Linked DNA regions of Nothobranchius furzeri. The protein of the gene in region 1 purifies or fractionates together with the protein of each later gene. This does not show direct contact. Links are inferred from orthologs where the notes say so. Each region holds a gene or a part of one and is shown on either strand. Other genes may lie near its edges. The genes, in order: vti1b, stx6 and stx12.

The links.
Region 2: the proteins of vti1b (region 1) and stx6 purify together in Homo sapiens (affinity purification with mass spectrometry; 3 studies listed by BioGRID and IntAct, counting the BioPlex papers as one, with this or other methods). This does not show direct contact. The link is inferred for Nothobranchius furzeri from reciprocal best matches to the Homo sapiens genes VTI1B and STX6.
Region 3: the proteins of vti1b (region 1) and stx12 purify together in Homo sapiens (affinity purification with mass spectrometry; 3 studies listed by BioGRID and IntAct, counting the BioPlex papers as one, with this or other methods). This does not show direct contact. The link is inferred for Nothobranchius furzeri from reciprocal best matches to the Homo sapiens genes VTI1B and STX12.

What each region holds. Positions count from the first base shown.
Region 1 is NC_091758.1:18,877,026-18,884,442, forward strand, and holds the start of vti1b (vesicle transport through interaction with t-SNAREs homolog 1B), read right to left. Parts: upstream 3,994-7,417; 5' UTR 3,862-3,993; coding exon 3,765-3,861; intron 3,667-3,764; coding exon 3,608-3,666; intron 1-3,607. Other genes in the region: rdh12 (retinol dehydrogenase 12), read left to right, coding at 7,352-7,417. UniProt on the Homo sapiens protein: V-SNARE that mediates vesicle transport pathways through interactions with t-SNAREs on the target membrane. These interactions are proposed to mediate aspects of the specificity of vesicle trafficking and to promote fusion of the lipid bilayers.
Region 2 is NC_091748.1:80,950,122-80,957,226, forward strand, and holds the start of stx6 (syntaxin-6), read right to left. Parts: upstream 3,922-7,105; 5' UTR 2,251-3,921; coding exon 2,216-2,250; intron 1-2,215. UniProt on the Homo sapiens protein: SNARE promoting movement of transport vesicles to target membranes. Targets endosomes to the trans-Golgi network, and may therefore function in retrograde trafficking.
Region 3 is NC_091751.1:25,518,530-25,525,155, forward strand, and holds the end of stx12 (syntaxin-12), read right to left. Parts: intron 4,626-6,626; coding exon 4,488-4,625; intron 3,671-4,487; coding exon 3,627-3,670; intron 3,443-3,626; coding exon 3,340-3,442; intron 3,258-3,339; coding exon 3,185-3,257; intron 2,025-3,184; coding exon 1,942-2,024; intron 1,465-1,941; coding exon 1,372-1,464; 3' UTR 1,193-1,371; downstream 1-1,192. UniProt on the Homo sapiens protein: SNARE promoting fusion of transport vesicles with target membranes. Together with SNARE STX6, promotes movement of vesicles from endosomes to the cell membrane, and may therefore function in the endocytic recycling pathway.

The DNA.
Region 1 (7,417 bases):
GCTTTGTGGGCCAATCAGGGCACTCTATATGCCTGGTGGGTGGGATGATGCAACAGAGCAAAACAAGTAGGGATGGGTATCGAATTCGGTACTTTTTAAGGTACCGACCGAGCAACGATTCACGTTGTTTCAAACGGTGCCTCGTTTTGGTACCCGTCCTTCATAACGAGAACTTGCCAAGACAGCTGCGCATGCGCAAGAGCGTTATGTCGTCGGTCCCTGCGAGCGTGTTGTAAACAGAGCAGCATGGTAGAAAGAACGCACGCTAACGCTTGGGTCCACTTCACTAAATGTGATGGGTAACTGGGTGATGATGAAACCAGCGACATACAACGATTTAAGTGAGACATCCTCATCTTAATCTGCTCCGTTAGGTAAATAAAATGTTTAAGATAACGTTACCTTGATATATTAGCTTCCGTTTCACTAATGGTGCGTTCGCTTTCTCCTCGGAACTCCGAATTTCCAACTAGAACATGAACGCGCTCTAAAGTTTGGCTTCACTTTACTAAATGCGACGGGTGATTGGGTGAAGATGAAACCAGTGACAACGATCTAAGTGTGAGGCATTATTGTTTTAATCTGCTCCAGCAGTTAAATAAACTGTTAAAGATAACGTTAGCTTGATATGTTAGCTTCCATTGCCACCGTTGTTATCAGCTAATGGTGCGTTCGCTTTCTCCTCGGAAATTCTAACTTCCCAGTAGGAAAAATTAAATGAAAAAAGACGGCAAAAGGAATGAAGATACACAGTAAATTTAGTTCACAGTAAAGATGTTTGCTTCAGTTTAATTATCAGCTTATAAAACTACAAGGACAATGTTAATACAAACAGTTGAATGTTATTTATCGTGATATTTGTCAAATGTTGTTATATATTGAGAAAAATATATATTTAATTATAAAAGAGAATTAAAATAATAAACACTCAAAAGTATCGAAAATTGGTACCGTTAAGTACCGGTATCGATTCGTAGGTACCGGGAATTAGTACCGAATCGATTCAAATGTCAAAGGTACCCATCCCTAGAAACAAGAGTATGTCACATTCATTGTCCAGTAGCATGCGGAGATCATTTGAAAGACAACGGTTGAACCTGCCCCACAACTGAGAGCCATAATTAGAGCGTTGCCAGACTAAATAATACAATTAATAATACTACTTATCTTTGGCATTCAGACATCAATTCTGATTGCTTCACAGCCGGACAGGACACCGTAAAAAAATAAATAAAAAGACAACAGCAGCTCCAACAATCACTCGTTCCTCCCAAGGTCTGCAGAACAGCATCTCTGAACCACAACATGATGATGCCTGAAGCAGATCCAGCAGCAGAAAACCACATCAATGTGTCTCTCCTGTCAGCTAAGAAAAGGATACTGAGGCTTCAATTCATCTGGTGTCACCAACATGAAAGCATGGGTCCATTCTGTCTTGCATCAATGCTTTAAGCTGCTGCTGGTGGCATTCTTGTCCCACTTTGGACCCCTTAGTACCAGCTGAGCCTAGTTTAAGTACCACAACCTTGTTGCTGACCATACATGTCTATCACTTTATGACCACATGGACCCATTTTTTGATACTACTTCAAGCACGATCATGCACCATGTCACAAAGCTCAGAGCATCTCTAACTGGTTTCTAGAACATGACGATGAGTTCACTGGACAAAAACGGCCTCCACGGTCACCAGATCTCAGTCCAGAACTTATGGAATGTGGTGGAGTAGGAGGTTTTCCTTATGAACAGAGCTGTGTGATGTTATGTTAATATGGACCAGAACTTCTAAGGAAAGTTTCCAACATCTTGTTGGATCAATGACATGAAGAGAGAAGGTAGTTCTGATCTAACCCTGCAGATACAAGGTGTACCGAATAAAGTTGGCAGTGTGAGGCACGTATTTAAGCATCTTCCTCTGTGTTTTTAACACTGAAGTTTAATAGACTTTTGATTTAATGATTACTGCACTACCTCTCTGCTTAAAGTGTAAAGCTGCGTTTTTACCAGGCCCCCACAATGTGGCTTTAAATTTGAGGCCAACCCGGAAGTAAGAGAAATTGCAGTTCCACCCTCATCCGCTGGGGGCTGGTGTCAGAAACGAGCAAATCCTCATTGACTCCCATGTTAAAAATGCCAATTTCACAGCAGAAATAAACATGTTTACAGCCTGGTACCAAAACATGTTTTTTGTTTAAATGATCTAGTTTATACTCATGACAACTCTGAGGGGGGTGAATTTTTTTTCTCACTCTTCTGTTTAAGTGTATTAAAAGCCTAAAATTCTGTATAATTAATGAGCATCCGACACACGTGACCACAGAGCTAGCTCCGTGGAAAGGCCTCAGTAGAGCCTCAGTCTGGCTTGGAAACTGTTCCGGGATTTTGAGTCTCTGTGTTTGTGTATTCTTTTTTGGATATTTTTTGTGCAATTGTTGGACAAAATGACTTGCTGTGGCATTAATTGCACTAATAGAGCGTCCAAGGAGTCTCCACTTCATTTTTTTCGGTAAGTAAAATTATATTTATGTATTTTAGGTCACTGCCAAGCTGAGCTTAGATTTTAACATGTACTGTTTAACCATGAAATTTAAATGTAATAGGGTAAAACCCAGTGCATTTAACACAATGCTGCACTTTAGAAAATGGGTTGAAATATAACATGTTGGTGGAGCTGGGTTCCGACTATCGGCTTGTGGAGCTCTCGGGAGACCGATGTTTTCCACCCAGAATGCCGGCTGTTTCTCCCCGCAGCCTGGTCCATCTCTGTCTGATCGCGGCTCCTGTTAGCTGCGCGGGCTAACGGCTGGTTCTCCCAGCAGCTCGGCGCATCGCTGTCTGATCGCGGCTTCTGTGTGCTGCGGCGGGCTGACGGCTGGTTCTTATGGCAAGCCAGAACCGCCAAAATACGCCACTTCTCCCCGCAGCTCGGCGCATCTGTCTGATCGCAGCTTCTGTTTGCTGCAGCGAGCTGACGGCTGGTTCTCCCAGCAGCTCGACGCATCTGTCTGATCGCGGCTTCTGTGTACTGTGCGGCTGCCGGCTTGTGGAGGTCTCCGAGACCTCTGGGTTCCACCGTATTTTACCCAGCGGTCAGCCCGGCGTACCTCTGACTCAGAAGCTCTGGTGTTGTGCACAGTTAACTCCAGTTGTAGCTAGGTTGCTACCTCCGATAGCTTAGCTCCCACATCCGCATTAGCTTTGGGTTAGCTTCAGGTTAGCTTGTAGATAGCTCGACCGGGTGTTGTCAGTTGATCCCAGCCTTACAGCCCCACCCTCAGCTCCTCCTCTCTTCCCTTTTGTGGAATTGTCTGGGCTTGACGGAACCTGTGACACGGTCAAAATGGCGGTGGTGGCCACCTCCCATTTAGCCTCAAAAACGTGTTATTGGAGTCTATGGAAACCCATTGTCCATATATTAATGTCGATGGTTTTTACACACAAGATGCATTCAGCTACATTAGCTTTAGCATCACAGCCAGTCATTGTACTTATGTTGATGTTTTGCGGTAATAATTACAGCAAACTCTTGGCCTTATTTATAACACTCACTGTTAATAAATAACAAACAGAAACAAGTGAAGATGTTGACGTAAACAAACGTTTTTACCACTTCATCAGCTTCCCCCTGTCTCTCATCGAAGGTCCTCACCAGTCTCTTCCTCTCCTCTGCATTAGGAACAGAACAAGTTCGAGGTTTAAACCAAGAAGGTTTTGTTATTTGACACTTAAACGAGGTTAAATGAGGGAACAACGGGTTTATTTACCTCCGGTACAGCTGAGAGCCTTCTCTGGGATTAGCTTTAGCTCGTCATACAAGGATCTGTAGATTTCGTGTAACTTCTCAAATTCTTCCGACGACATTTTCCGTCAATGTAATCTCGCTGTCTGTCATAAAAAGGCCACCTGTACCTTTTTCTTTAAAGGACGGAACGAACTACACAAGTGGATCAACTGCTTGTGCTTCGATGAGACTCTTCCGCTGCCGCATGACGACTCTCGTGACCAAGTGCCTAAACTTTACAACATTGCTACAAATTTGAAGTATTCACATGCTAAACGTTCGGTGAAATTTATTTCAATACTGAAGATGAATGTGACAATACCATCAATATGCTTAACACTATTTAAATGTCTTACAAGTTATTTTAACGTATTTTATTCAGGCACGAAGGTAGACAGCTTTAAACGGTCTCTGGGAACTGTAGTTTTTCCGCTAATTCTTCTAAAAAAGATTTGAAACATTTGTTAAAAGACAACTGAAACATCATAAAATAAGATAAACTATTACTAGTCACTACAATATTAAATAAAAATGAACGAAGTTTATATTAGTGTGCATTTACTTTGTCTGTTTACATTATTTTCTAGCCAGGCTATTTCCTAAAACAATAATGGGCCTAAATTATAGATACATTATAATAATAATCAATTTTGTACAGAATTATTGTTTTATAAATTATTTACTATTTAGATACAAGGCTACCTATAAAGAATAGCAAGATACCTGGATGATGTCCCGATTGAAACACCTTTGGTTGACGTGGTTCTGACTGCCATATGCGTCGCTCAAAAAACTATCCTCATGAATTGGAAAAATAGAGATACTCTTTGCATTAACCAGTATATAAATCTTTTGTTGGATCATATTACACTTGAGACAGCCTCTTCTTCCACTTCAAATCAATCTATATGGGCTCCTTTGATCGGTTCCATCACATAGAGGTGATTGTGTGTGTGTGTGTGTGTGTGGGGGGGGGGGGGGGGTTGTCATTGATACTGTCCTGCGGGATGATGTGGGTGATGGGGTGGAGGGTCTGCGCTTGCAGTATCCGGACGTTCCTTGGAGGTGGATTCACTGGGGGTGTCTGGGGCTGGGGGGCTGCTGTCCCACTCTGGAGGCGCTTGGGTTGCCTCGAGGGGTGGATTACTGGCGGTTGTGAGTGGAGCCCCTTGGGGGGTCTTGACGGTGGCGATGGGTTGCTGCCTGGTGGCTGCATCACCCCTGAGTGGGTCTGGGTGGGGGCCTGGGGGCTAAGGGTGTGGGGGTAGCTGGCCCCCATGTGGGGATCTGGGCGGGGCCTTGGGGATTGGCTCCTAACTTGTATGCTGCTGGGAAGAAGGCGGGAACACACGGCGGTGCCTGGCCCAGGCTCAGGGGCCTCAGGTGGACCTTGGCTCCTCTGAAATAATAACAATTCTGTCACATCACGGGGGAGGGGGTTGTCCAGGAGGGGGAGGACCCAACCTTACCTGATGTCTTATGTCTTACATATTCTGGAAGTTGTGCAAATGCAGGGATGGGAGTAGATATTCTGCTGGGGTGGGGCTGGGTTGGTGCCCTCGGACTCCGTAGGGCTCTGCGATGCTGCTGCTTTGGGCCCTGGCTAGGTGGGCTGGGGTCTCCATGCCCTGGGTGGCATTTTGGGAACAGAGGTGCCTATTGGGGCCAGTGGAGGAGCTAGCTCCCTGGAGGGCTTAGGCCAATCAACCATTCCTCCACATCCCCATACATTTTTTTTTCCTCCTGCTCCCTCACATCATCACACAAACATGCACATAGGATCATGGGGGGTGGGCAAGTCAGGGGGTACAGGTATGGATCCCATTTCCGCATTCCTGAGACAGCCTGCCCCCCAATTTTATTTGCACATTAAGCACTTCCACCAATGACATTCGACGTAAACACACACTTAGGGCTTTGGGAGTGAGCACACTCAACGGCATTTGGCAAGGGGATCTTTCAGCCTCATCCCGAGTGCCGGTGCCCACTTCCAATATTAAACTTCACTTAGATACAGAGGGCTGTGGGGGGAAGTGGGGTTGTGTGGTGGCATCAGCTAGCGTAGGCCAGACGATGCCCGCACTGCCCGCTCACCACAACCATGGAATACACCTCATCAACACACACTAACACTGTATTGGAGCAGGCAGAGGGAGACTAGGGGTCTTAGCACACCTGTGTTGTCGCTTTTTCACGTGTCTGAGCAGAACCTCCCTGAACCGTCTACAGGTGGTTCAGAATGTCTGTGCTCGGCTTCTGACCTAGTCCTCCAAACACACCCACATCACCCCGCTTCTCCTCCAGCTTCATTGGCTGTCAGTCAACTTCAGGGTTCATTTCAAGACCCTGGTTCTGGTCTATAGGGCCTTACATGGACAAGCACCATCTTACATTGGTGATCTTCTCAGTCCCTACACCCCCAGCAGGTCCCTGAGGTCCAGTGATCAAAGCCTACTGGTTGTGCAGCACCAGGCTAAAGACCAAAGGTGACAGATCATTTGCTGCTGTGGCCCCCAGACTCTGGACCTCTCTCCCCCTGAGCCTGAGATCAGTGAACTCAGTGGGCTCCTTTAAAAAGCAGCTGAAGACTCACTTGTTCAAGCTGGCTTTTGTATGACCTTCTTCACCACTCTCTCTTTATTCTGCTCTCCCCACCTATTCCACCTTCCTCAAGATCCACTGATTTCCCTCTTTCCTGTTCACTTTCTCTCTTTCTCAACATTTTTAATCACAATTGCCTATTTTTGCTCATTTTAAATACATTTTTAAACATTTTCTAAATGCTTTTTTATATTTTTACAATTTTTGTTTTTGTGAAGCGCCTTGTGATTTTTATCTCGAGAGGCGTTATATAAATGATACTTTCTTCTTCTTATTGGCTTCCCATGGCTAGAGGCTAGGAGGGGGAGCTGGCGTGATGGGTTGCTTTGCTCAGTGTTGGGCTCTTTCTGCAGGTCTAGAAGCAAACTCTTGTTCATCATTGATTGTTTATTTTTGTGGAACCCCCCACCCCCTTCCTTTTGTCGCTTCCTTTCTCTTTCACCTCTGTCTCCGAATTTGTCACCAGCATGCAGACATTAATTCGTTTGCTTCACAGCCAGAAAGGACACGAAAAAAAAGAATAAAAAAAAAAGAACAGCAAGATATGAAATGGCAACTAAAACAATTATGTAAATGGTCTGTATTTGATATAGTGCCTTCTAGAATCCTGGAACCCACCAAGGCGCTTTGCAACGCAATCAGTCATTCACCCATTCACACACACATTCACACCCTGTGTGTTGGAAAAAAAATTTTCAACATTTATTTAAACAAGCTACTACTGATTGGCAGTATCAAAAATAAATTGGTCAAACTGAAATCCTCACACGTGACACTAAAAGTGAGTCAAAATCGAGTGGACAGTACGTTTTCTGGTATTCGTCAGTGTAGAAAACTACAATCCCACAATGCTGTTCGCGTGTTTGGCTGATCCTTGCTCTCTCAACGTTTGACATCAGCTGTTCAGCCTACACATCAGCAGCAGCATCCTGCTGGGAGCCTCTCAGCCAAGCGCCAAATCGCAGCACCATGATCCTCTTATTAATCATCGCGGGTATCGGAGTGGTGACGCTGCTGGTGGTTTTATTCGCTCCA
Region 2 (7,105 bases), on another chromosome or scaffold:
GCATTCAGATATGCTCTTCTGCATACCTTTTTTTAATTTGTTCATTTCAGGCACAACAAAATACATATATAAAACATAAAGTGCTGGTTGTACCCAGTGGTTATTTGAGTTCCTGTTGCCTTTCTATCAGCTCGAACCAGTCTGGCCATTCTCCTCTGACCTCTGACCTCAACAAGGCCTTTTCACCCACCGACCTGCTGCCCGCAGGGTGTTTTCCCTTTTTCAGACCATTCTCTGTAAACCCACTGTGTGTGTGTGTGTATATATATATATATATATATATATATATATATATATATATATATATATATATATATATATATATATATATATATATACGATATATATATATATATATATAGTATTTATATATCGTATTTATATATATATATATAATACCATATATAGATAGAAATAGATATAGTATTTATATATATATAGTATTTATATATCGTATTTATATATATATATAATACCATATATAGATAGATATAGATATAGTATTTATATATATTGTGTATATATATCTCATTTCAAGATCCTGGTTCACCCCCAGCAGGTCCCTGAGGTCCAGTGACCACAGCCTACTGGTTGTGCAGCACCAGGCTAAAGGTCAAAGGTGACAGATCATTTGCTGCTGTGGCCCCCAGACTCTGGACCTCTCTCCCCCTGAGCCTGAGATCAGTGGACTCAGTGGTCTCCTTTAAACTCACCTGTTCAGGATTTGGAGTGACCTCCATCACCTCTCTCTCCTTATTATGTTCTTTCTACTTGTTCCACCTTTCCCAGGAAGAAGAAGAAGAAGAAAATATCATTTCTATAGCGCCTCTCAAGATAAAAATCATGAGGCGCTTCACAAAAACAAAAAAAAAATGTAAAAATATAAAAAACAATTTAGAAAATGATTAAAAATATATTTAAAATGAGCAAAAATAGACAATTGTGATTAAAATGTTAAGAAAGAGAGAGAGTGAACAGGAAAGAGGGAAACCAGTGGATCCTGAGGAAGGTGGAATAGGTGGGGAGAGCAGAATAAAGAGAGAGAGGTGAAGAAGGTCATACAAAAGCCAGCTTGAACAAGTGAGTCTTCAGCTGCTTTTTAAAGGAGACCACTGAGTCCACTGATCTCAGGCTCAGGGGGAGAGAGGTCCAGAGTCTGGGGGCCACAGCAGCAGATGATCTGTCACCTTTGACCTTTAGCCTGGTGCTGCACAACCAGTAGGCTTTGATCACTGGACCTCAGGGACCTGCTGGGGGTGTAGGGACTAAGAAGATCACCAATGTAAGATGGTGCTTGTCCATGTAAGGCCCTATAGACCAGAACCAGGATCTTGAAATGAACCCTGAAGTTGACTGGCAGCCAGTGAAGCTGGAGGAGAAGCGGGGTGATGTGGGTGTGTTTGGAGGACTTGGTCAGAAGCCGAGCACAGGCGTTCTGAACCACCTGTAGACGGTTCAGGGAGGTTCTGCTCAGACACGTGAAAAGAGAGTTACAGTAGTCTAAGCGTGAGGAGATGAAGGTGTGGAGAACTGTCTCAAGTTCAGAGCGGGACAGAATGGGACTCAGCTTAGCAACGTTCCTGAGATGGAAGAAGGAAGAGCCAACAAGAGAACTGACATGAGAATCCAGGATGAGAGCTGGGTCAAAGGATCCACTGTTTTCCCTCTTTCCTGTTCATTTTCTCTCTCCATTTCCTAGCATTATTTTTCATCACCATTTTTCTCTCTCTCATTTTGAACATATTTTTAATCATCTCTGAAATCTTTTTTATGCCTTAATTCATTTTTTATTGGTGAAGTGCCTCGTAATTTTTATTTTGAGAGGTGCTTTTATAAAAGATTGTTTTCTTTCACTACATGTATTTCAGAAACCGCTGATCTGAGAGTGTCACACACAACCATCTCCAGGGTTTACAGAGAATGGTCTGAAAAAGGGAAAACACCCAGTGGGCAGCAGGTCTGTGGGTGAAAAGACATTTGAATACCATTCACTCATGATTTTTAAGCGAAAAACAACAAAGGCCTACCCCGCGTTGACCGTACTACATACTGTATACGCGCAGGGGAATTCTGATCGAGGGCTGGACAGACCAGCCAGAACGGAACCAGCCTTCTAGAGCTAACAGCTGCTGCCCACGGCACCGGAAAATAGTCGTGGCTCGAGCTTTATGCGGATGCTAGCTTTAGTTTAGTGCAGATAACCAATGCTTCTGACCCTTTAACGACGAAGAATGGATCTTCCATGGACATCTTTCCGCTTCGCGTTCAGTCCACTAACCAGATTCTTCAGTCTGGCTCTGCTGCGAGGGCTTTGTTCCGATTACAGCCCGGTTCTGGTCATCGCCTCGTCTCTCTGTGCTTTGTTTACATGTAGCAATGAAGCGTCAATTGGAATCGTAGCATGTTCAAGGAAGATCCCGTCTTTCTCGCCTTTGATTGGCTGCAAGGGCTCTCCGAAAGGCTGCAGACCCGGACCGCGTTATCACTTTACACCACAGACTGCACTAAGCGGTGGAAGACGGTTTGCTGCTAAATGGAAATAGCCAATCGTAGTAGAGACGTTCTAGCCAATCAGAGGCGAGAAAGGCAGGAACTTCCTGGGACATCCTACGATTCCAAATCACGTTAGCGGCAACCATTCCGTCACATCCGTGCAGGAAGTAAGTTTTATTTTTCAAAACTTTATTGAAAAATTAACAATTATAAAACAAAAACTCCATATTTAAACATAACTTAAAATAACAACACTATATAATCAAAAACACAACAAAGTATCTGTTAAAATATTCTTAAACCACTTTTATTTTAGTTTTCAATTTTGGCATTTTAAGTTACTGTTGGTAATAGAGATACAATACTCATTCAGATCAGGTTCTTTGAAATTATTAAATCATGGGGATTTTGTATGTAAATATTTAGCTAATATAATATTAAAAGTACATCTATTATATATACTTCATCAGTGGAAAAAATTAGCTGTAGAAACTTAGCCTAGCGAACTAGACCAAATTCTTGCTTTGCAAATAAATAATACATTTATTTAGTCTGGCTTGCCAGGCTAGTAGAAACTGTCATGTATTGGGAACGTGATGACGTAACGCAGGGGTGTCAAACTCAAACTCACACGGGGCCGAAATGAAACTCTGGGACGGAGTCAAGGGCCAAACTTAATATTTTTGAAAAAGTGATGGCAAATTTGCACATTTTCTTTATCAACATATATGCAATTTTGAACCTTTAAATTTGGAAACAAACATATTTCTGCATTAACACTGAATGTGGAATAACCAAATTACACACGAGCAAGTCGGTTTTAAATAAAAGGCATCAGTGGTATTCATTACTTGTGGTATAATCAGCATTTTTAAAATCTTTTCAGGATTTATGTTTTCTTGTTTATTCATTTTTCTTATTTTTTATTCTCCTTTTTTTCTCCTGTAATACGTGTCATCGCTGCTGTGACGTCTAGCTTTTCCCACTGAGGAACAATAAAGAGATTTTCTATTCTATTCATCTATCTGCAGCCTTTCCACTTCCTGTTTACTGTAGGTTAAATCTTTGCTCACGGGCAGGGCCGGCGTTAGGCCCGGCTACTTGGGCTGAAGCCCTGGATGTTTCATGATAAGCCCCGGATCTAAATCGTGGAAGTAACATGCAGTACCAAAGTCCAACAGAGAGGGAGCAGCTGGCAGTAGTTTGTATACAGCCTGCCTGAGCCTCCACCACTGAAGAAGAAGCCCTTCAGCAGCCGGCTTCTTCTACACTCTCTGCCTGAAACGCATGAGTGAAGATGGACATAAGGACGTTTTTAGACCAAAAGTACGGCGACAGAACCCCAGCTTTGATGAGACTGGTGTTGACTCAGGTTTGTGAGTCTTATTAGAAAATATTTGTTGTGCTGCTGGTTTGCCTAAAGTTAGCTTACTATCAGGTAAAGTTGTTGGAGAAAGAACGGGAATATTTACTATCATCTCACACTAAACACTAACAGGAACAATACTCTGCCCTGAAAATGCTTAATATGTAGCTTCAGATTAAAAATTATGTGGTACAAGACAAATATATATGATGTTGACTAGTGCGTGTCATGTGTGTGTGTGTGCACGCGTGCATGTGTGCGTTAAGCCCCGGATCTTCTTCAGTCCTAAATCCGCCCCTGCTCACGGGCCAACAACAAAATACAAATATCATTTAATCTTAAATGAAAATGCAACATCTCACCTGTTAACTTTCATGTTTTGGAGCAGAAAAAGAGCATAAAACCAACATATTTAAAGCTCAGTTTGCTCCACTGGTTTACTGTGATGCTCACCTGTTCCAGCCAGATACCTGCATCATGGGGTTGGTCTGAGCTGAGGAGGAGACTCCTGTTGTTTTGCTCATCTTCATCATAATAATGACAACATTAGATGACAACAGGTGCTCACATAGGTTTGTGCTGATGAACATGTCTGAGCAGCTTGAGCACGTTGTTGTGTGTCGGGGAGGAAACACGACCACAGAGTCGTGCTGGTTTGAGCGTGTCGCTGCTCGCTGGAGTTATATCGGCTCTGTCTGGACGTTAGTTGGAAAACTTCTCTTTCAGTCGTGAACACATTACTGAGCGGCTAGAATCTCCGTTTCTGGGCTTCAACGTCAGAAAACAGCTGAGTGAACTCGGCGCTGAGTGAGAGGAGTGTTTAGTTTGTCCGAGACAGCAGAGCTGCTGACACCGGCAGCAGGCGCTGGAAAAAACACAAAGGAGGGGGCGCGTCGGCTGCGCGCTGACGCCGCAAAGCATCATGGAAGTTGTAGTCTTTGCGGTAAAATCGGCCAGCGGGCCAGTTTTAATATATTTTTGATATTTATCTCGCGGGCCACATAAGAATGCTCCGCGGGCCTCATCTGGGGGGTGGGGTGGGGTGGGGGTGGGGGTTTGTTGCCTGTCTCCAGCAGTCAATGGGCAATCAGACGGGGTACACCCTTTACAGAGAGCCAGGCAACACAGAGACACTCACACATGCACAGGGAGAACATGCAAACCACGCAAAAAGATCCCAGGCTGGGAAGCGAACCCAGGACCTTCTCGCTGCAAGGAAACAGCTCTAACCACTGTGCCACTGAGCAGCCCCAATTCAGAATGTCCTATCTCATTAATAAAGTAAGATCGACACACACAACAATGGTGACGAGGATGACGGAGACGAGTGTTTGAAAACAGGACTTTTTTTTTTAAGTGGCGGAGTTGGACGCGAAAGTTGCGTTCACGATGGAGAAGACGGGGATCCAGCCATTTGCATGCTACACAGAACCTGCTACTCTCGGATCAAGATGGACGCGATAGCTGACGTTGTTCGAGTTGTATGCAGACGAGAAAGGTCTTATCATCGCCGACGGGACGTCTGATGTGATGGCGCAGCGGAGACGCGCTCTTTTACTGCACCTGGCCGGACAGGACGTTCATATTAAAACAACTCCAAAATGGGCTCAAGCTAATGGAGAAGTGGAATGGCAAAATGCATTGCTGATGAAGAGGATCAGGATTGCTCAGGCCGAAGGACTTGAGTGGCAGAAGGAATTGAGAAGATGTGTGGCAGTGTACAGAGGACTCGAACATCCTACCACCGGGAAAAGTCCAGCGGAACTCCTGTTTAACCGGAAAATAAGAGGAAAGTTACCAGAACTGTGTGGGTCGAGCACAACAGCGTTGGACGTTCGTGACAGAGCCGCAGAACAAAAGGGTCAGTTAAAGCTGTACGCAGATGAGCGAAGAGCAGCACTGTATTCAAAAGTGGATGTTGGAGAGACGGTACTGATGAAACAGGACAAGATGGACAAGTTTAAATGATAAATGACCCGCACTTGTATAGCGCCTCTCAGAGTAAGGACTCCAAAGCACTTTACACTACAGTGTATCATTCATCCATTCACACACTGTCTATGGTCACATCACACACTGGTGGGGATGAGTTACGATGCAGCCACAGCTGCCCTGAGGCGCACTGACAGAGGTGAGGCAGCCGAGCACTGGCACCACCGGTCCCTCCAACCACCACCAGCAGGCAAGGTGGGTTAAGTGTCTTGCCCAAGGACACAACAGCAGAATTCTCTGTCCAGAGCTGGGATCGAACCTGCAACCTTCCGATTACTGGACAACCCGCTCTACCTGTTTATGTTTATTTATTTGGCAGACGCTTTTATCCAAAGCGATTTACAATCTATAACCTATAGGGCATGTTGTGATCTGTGGAGGAAACCAGAGTACCCGGAGGAAACCCACGCATGCATGGGGAGAACACGCAACTCCAGGCAAAAAGGCTGCAGCCGAGTTTAGAACCTGCAACCTTCGTGCTGCTAGGCAACAGTGCTAACAACTGCGCCACCATGCAGCCCATAAACATAGCACCACATAAAGTTGTAAGTAAATGTGACAATCAGGTTGTTGTTGAATCCCCAGCTGGAGTACGTTATCGCCGGAATACTTCACATGTGAAAAAGTTTGAAACACAGACGACCGAACAGGGGCAGAGTGGACAAGAAGAGATAATTAAACCATGGACATTAAAAGTTAAAGTCCCATTAGTTGTCACACACACTGATGTGTGTGCGAAATTTGTTCTCCGCATTTGACCCATCCCCTGGGGGAGCGGTGAGCTGCAGACACAGCCGCGTTCTGGAACCATTTGGTGGTTTAAACATTGAGACTGAAACACCACAAGAGGGCGCACCAGGTCTGGAAATGACCCAAGAGACTACAACTCCTCGCTCAGGTGGACGCATGCCTCTCCCACCTCCTGCACCTCATTGAAAATGGGGGCAGCACTGACCCAAAGGATTGTGTAATTGTTGTTTAGTTTCATCGATGTAAACATCCAGCAATGGTCAGTTTAGGTACTGTTTGACCTTTCACCATCTATTCAACATCTGGTCAGAAAGGACACACAACATTGCATGTGTTCCCTTTAAAAGTTCTGCCTTCACACCAGCTTGGATTCAGACTCTGCAAGTCTGAATCATAAACAATAACTTTCTTTCCCCAAGGTCATCTGTCTGCCTCCAGAAGACAGAAGATCCAGCTCGAATCAGTTGCTAAATTCAAGAATGATTTAATAAAAATCAATGTGAA
Region 3 (6,626 bases), on another chromosome or scaffold:
AGTGAGTTTGCGGCCGCTGCGCAGGAGGAGAGAGCTGAAGCAGGCAGTAAAGATGCAAAAACTACCGTTGTTAAAAGAAATGTGTGTTAACTTAGAAAATGTGGGCGCAAGTTGAATTACTTGTCAACTTTTTTCTCCAATGTTGACTGCTGCACACAAAAAAAAGACCACTGCTCGCGTGGGCCCCCTTGTGGCTGTGCCCAGTTTGCCCGCAATATAATCCGGCCATGCGTTTATCATAAATTATTTATTGTATTCAGATTTCTGCTGAGGCACCTAGAAAGGATCACACTTTAAATTTTGTGCAATAAATAAATTTTAATCCACTAACTGATTCATAACAGAATAAATGCATGCTGAGTTTATGGTACAGCCACGTCTGATGCCTCATATTTTTAAAAAGATTTTGCAAAACATGTAAACTCACTTTAATCAAAGGACATGTTAACAGTGAAAATACAAGGCAAGAAACAGGAAAACACCACAGGTGTTTATTTGATTGAACTGTTGTTAACTAACAAACGACGGAGCTCATATTTGTGGTTAACGGTGAAACTGGTTCTGTTGGGGGGGGCATCAAAAGATTTTTGCCCCTTTGTTAAATAAAAGTTTACAAATGAAAACAGAATTCAGTTTTAATGTGAGACTTCAGTTGTTTTTAATCAAAATGAATGTTACTAATGTTTAATTTAGTTTAGATTATGAGTTAATTAATTAGAGACGAACTTGGAGATTTAAAATGTGAAATCAGGTTTTCTACGTGGAACTTCAGTCCACCTGACGGTTTGCACACAAACACATAAATGTTCTCCAGAACATGTACTGTCCGAGTTAAGAACAGGTCACCAGACAGAATAAATAACTGCTATACACGTTTAATGTGCTTCTGCGAGAACTTGTGAGGAATGGGCTGAAAACGCTGTACACTAAACCTCCAGCTCTTAACAGAACATTCAGACTAGAAATATTTGTTTAACTTTGTTTATATCCAACATCATCATCATCATCATCATCATCATCATCATCACTCGGACTCCTTTCGTCATCACCTCCGCGTTACAACAAGCGGTTCCGTTAGTCCTTCACAACTACATATTTACATTAGAAATGTGGTGACAGCTAGTGTTAGTGCACAGAAGAAATAGAGAACATCGGAAATGCTCCTCAATCCCCCCCCCCCCCCCCCCCCCCAACTCAAGCTTCAATTACAATCAGAGGCATCAATGAGCTCAGATGATCCCACGTGACTTCAGATGGTCTAGGACCAACACATCTTTAGTGAAGACTGACTGGTCCCAGTGGTGCTCCTGTTCTTCAGTTCTGCTTGCAGGTGGGACGGGGTAGAATAAAACACTGTTTGGTCAAAAACACTCATTTGGAAGAAAAATAGATGATAAGACCCAGGACCAGGAGTACTATAGAAACAACAATGGCCAGAATGCACATCTTCTTCCTGGACTTTTGCTGTGAGAAGGCAGAGACAGCAGAGAGAGAGAGAGAGAGTTAAACGCCCATTGTTAAAGCTTCCTGCATGTTTCCTCAGACTCTGATCTAAACTGCAGCCTGTGCTGTTTTGTTTTTACTGCTGTCATCAGCAGTTCACCTCTTAGAGGACTCTTTCTCCTATAAAGAGTGCAATGTTTCTGTGTTAAAGGCCAAGTTCACTGAGACATGTGAAAATAGTCTTCTACCCCTATTTCCTGCATCAGCTGCTGATGGAAAATAGACGAGGAAACTCGGATTAGAAAAGCCACTGCAAAATGTGTAGAAAACACAAGTGAACTTGGTCCTTAAGTCAGAAACAGGCTTGACTCCTTTGTTTCGGGGTTCTCACCTTTGCAAGAGTGAAACCATATTCTAATCACCCGCATGCCTCTTGGTGAGAGCATTTTTCCACCACAGAGGTTCTTTAACGACAGAAGATGGAAGAGAAGAACTCACCTGATACATAGCTGCCCTCTGCAGCTGCTCTGCTCCTCGTTCCACGTGAACTTCAGCGTTCTCCACATTTGCCTCGATGCTATCTGCAGCAGAACACAAGATCAGCTAACAGGAACAAGACAAAGCTGCCATAGAATCCATGGGCGTCATTTCTTTTGCCCACCCCTTCAGACAGAAGGATGGAAATGGAATAAATCAGGAGCATGAGAAGGGTTCCAGATGGCTACCGTTGCCCCTGATGACTCAGTCACTATTTTCATGGAAAACCTGTACATTTTGTGAACAGCGACACAAGAGTGAGGACCTCCCTGATGCTCAGGAGAGAGGTGAGAACTAAAGGGTGGCGACATTTCAAATATACTCATTCTGGTTAAGGTCAGGAGGCCTAGCAGGAAGCACAGACCAACCTTTCCCCTGCCACTCCCACCAGCTCCTCCCGTGGGACAAAAGCAGTTCCCAGACCAGGTCAGAGATACATTCCCTCCAGTGCACCATGGGTCAACCTGGATGGGACATACCCAAAACACTTCCCACAGTAGGGATCTTGGCCAAATGCTCCAGTTAGCCGCTCTGGACATGGACAGCAGTCCCACTCCGCAGGTTGTCTGATCTCTGAGGCTGGGCCCAGACACCCTGCAGAGGAAGCTCTTTTTGGTTCTCTGGCCCTGGTGGAGGAGCCGTGGACGCCTCAGAGACAGCAGCTGAGAGACAGACTCATCAGCCTATCTGACACTTATTACTACCAGAATTGTCCTAACAGACTCCTTCAAGATAATTCCTTCTCCATACGTTTTTCCATCTACACCAAACAAGAGGTTTAATCAACTCCAGGAAGACTGGGATAGACAACATTATAAAAGTGTTTGATTCACTAGGTGAACCCGAAAAACGACTCTTCAATCAACCAACAAAAACAAACATGGCCTCCTGTACATCCTTAGGTGATTATTTAACAATATCAAATGGCCCAAGTGGCTGGGGAGAGGGAAGTCTGGGCCTCTCTGCTTAGACTGCTGCCCCCACGACCTGACCCCGGATAAGTGGAGGGAAATGAATGGATGGATGGGATACATATACTGATCCAAACAAAGAAGTGGATAAACTAAATACCACAGAATTTATTACAGGTGGAAAAAAATCCAGTAGCCAATCACAAAGCTTCTTTAAGACCAATTTTTACAAGTACACACATGGCCACCTGACCCAGTATCCAGAATACTGCAACCAGTACAGAACCACTCACCAATCATCTCCCCTTGGTCGTGGATCATCACAGCCAGGTCCTTAAAGATCTGGTTCACATCCATGATGTCAGACTGAAATTAACCAACAGAAATCAGCTGCTGGTCCTCCAGTTGGTAGTGATGTCACAGGAGGTAACAGGAAGTGACGTCTCACCTCCAGCTGTCTGATGTTGGTCTCTCTCTCCTTGATCAGCTCCAGGTCCTCCTCCGTGACACCGACCTCCTCTGTCTGAGTCAGCTGACCAAAATCCTCTTGGCTTCACAAAAACAAAGGATAAAAGAAAGTCTTGTAACTTTTACTAACCCCTAAGTGATGAGAAGCACAGCCATCGTAGCCATCAGTAGGGACTCCAAGCTCAACAATTATAACGACTCATCCTTTATTCACATTTAACTCTTTGGTTACAAAGTTCCTCGAGAGACCAGATGGAAATCGCTTACTTATCAAACGAAACAAGCTTCTCATCACGAAAATTGTCTTCTGCCTAAAAGAGAAGACAAAGACACACGTTAGCCGATCCATCCTCAGTACATCAACAAGTGATTTCTGCTCCCAAGCAGAACATTTGACCTTTGACCTTAAACAGGAAGCTTATGCTGGGAAACCCTCCAATGTGGCAGCATTTAAACAATCCTGCAGAGAAGAGTGGGACAAAGATCCACCATGGTGATGTGAGAGGGTGTTAGAGCTAGCTTCCCAGTTTATTTTAGGGTTGATTTGAAGATTTGAATTCTTGTTTTTAAATGTTTGAATGGCCTTGCTCCCTCTTACTGCCGGTTTATCCCAGATCTCATCTCATAACCTGGGGCAACAGAGCCGCATCCTCTTGGTATAAGGAAGGCCAGAATGTTGGAAGATTTTAAACCTCGTTTCAAGACCCATCATTTTAAATTGGCTGTTTACTCCAGCTGATCAGAAACTGCCAAGCCGCCTTTTCTTAGCCATTTTAGGTTTGGTTAAGTTCTTGTTGACTGACCTGTACAGCACTTTGGTCTCCTTGTGATATATAAAGGGTTACTATTATTATTATTATTCTCTTACTTTGGTGGTGTGTGTGTGTGTGTTAAGGCTGTATGCTGTTGTCTCTCACAAATGTTTTTGGAGTACTTCAAATACTACCATAGTTTCCATTTTAGCACAGGTTCCAGTGGAAAACAACTCCTGTTTTATGCTCTTTTATTAATCACAATCAACATACATACATAAATAAACAAACAAATAAATAAATAAAGATTCCAATTCTGGGATCAGTCCAGTACATATTACCATTGCCTTGTCAATAACAAATAATTGATCCTTACCGATAGTCGAGATCCAGCCCTCGCTCTGGCTATCGACTCCCTCTCTTTCTCTGCTGCACGCCGCTGGACAGCCTGGAAGTTGTTGAGAGCGGCTGAGAAGTCATTCATGAGCCGCTCCCTCTGGATCTTCTGCTGCCTCTGGACACCACAGAACCAGACATCAATCATCCAATCCAACAAGCAAACCCAAACAAGAGTCAACAGCACAATCTGCCAAGGAGGTTTGGGAAGTTTTTCATGGAAGCAACCCACACACTCCACTGTTCTACAAATGTTTCTCCATTCAAGGAAACAGTCACACTTATCAATGATATTAAATTTATTACAGGAAGAATGTTACAACAGAGAAACATTGATCCTTAAAAGGGCTAAATAGCTAGCAGTTAGCTTAATTAATTCACCAGCTGTCAATGAAGAACACAAGAAGAAGAAGAAAAAAGCTTGTTTTTGTCAGCACCATGGTGGAGCCTGGAGGTAATAGTTGGAGTGTTTTGTCTTTGGAGGTGAAACAAAGAGCTTAAACCAGAGTGAACCTCACCATGGCCTACACTCATTGGAGGAAGCTAAAGGAGGCTACGAAATCACAGACTGATGGTGACCTGACTTTGTTGCTACTGGATTTTAGTAATATTATTTTTTGTCCAACAGTGTGGACATTTTTAATTTGGGGCTTACTTAGTAAGACTTGCCTCATGTTGGTGCTAGCTTGTTGTTAGCGCTAGCTACAGCAGCCTGCTGCAGGGTTGCTTACAACAATTGTAATTCCACTTTGAACCAGTAGGACGGAGAAGCTAGAAACTGTTTAGTGTTACTTTACAAACCCTTTGTCCAGAAGTCGAGTGCTGGGTTTTAGGATTGCTTCGAGGTATAAATAGGTAGCTTACTATAAACATACCAATGACAGCAGACTGGAAATATGCTTTTCTTATCATGTATTCAGTAAATATGTCAACATGAAAACTCAGAAGAACAACACAGTAGTTTTCCAACTTCTGTAGAGACAAATAAGACAAGACTGTATGAAGTAAACTTACAGTGGCTGAAGAAAAACTAAAGCAACATCACAGTAATAGATGTACTGTAACTTTATTATTATTACTGTCTGGCTAGATCAGACACAAGATTTTATCCATATCCCATCATGTCTTTAGTGGCATCTGATTGTTATGCTTTCAGTTAAACAGGTGTGTGTTTCCACACAGGCCAGGGCTGTTTGGACAAGATGTAGCCTCACAAACCTCATCTGTGAAAATGTGTGTAGAGTTTTGCACAAAGTGTAAAGAAGACATTAACCCTTTGATGCATAATGCTCACTACAGTGGACAATTAAGCACAGCTGTTGAAGACCTTGTTGCATTTTTGAGCCCCTCCATTTGGACTTCAGTAAGTCAAGCCAACATATTTCATGTTCAGAATGCACGCTGTCCACTGAGGTGGACATGTAGTAAATTAGTTGTAAATTATTAAATGTTACAAAAAATATTTGTTGAAATTTGTTTCATTCACACCTAAAGATGAATGAAAAAACTTGTTTAAAAAATCATGGTTGAAGATTTCATAATTCATGCATCGAAGGGTTAATGTTGAACAAATCAGCAGAAGTATTATTCTCCTTGGGAGTGGACTGTTTTATTTTATGGTGTAAACAATCATAAAAACTGTAGAGTCACGCAAAGATACTCCGCGGGCCACCTGCAGCATCCCTCATCCATTAACCCCTAACAGGTGTGTCAACAGAGCTAATCGGGGTAGACGTAAACCCAAGGGAGGCGTTGATGTACCTGCTCCTGTAATACTAGTGTTAGTCTCCATTAGGTGTGTGTGTGTGTGTGTGTGTGTGTGTGTGTGTGTGTGTGAGCCCGTGCACACGTGTGTGCGCACAAGTGTGTGATGATGACAAATATTTACAGACTGAGTCCTCAACAGAAGTGCATCTTTCTATCTTTCCATTTTTTAATTAAAAACCAAAAAACAAATGTTTTTTTTTATTGGATGCAAAAAAAAAAAAAGTCCAATTTTAGTCTCAGGACACGTTACGAAATGGAAAAATGGGCCACAGGACCAAATATGATTTTAATTAGTGATGTCAAAGTCAAAGCAAACATCTGGTCTCTGATTGGCCAACAGCCAAGTGACTGT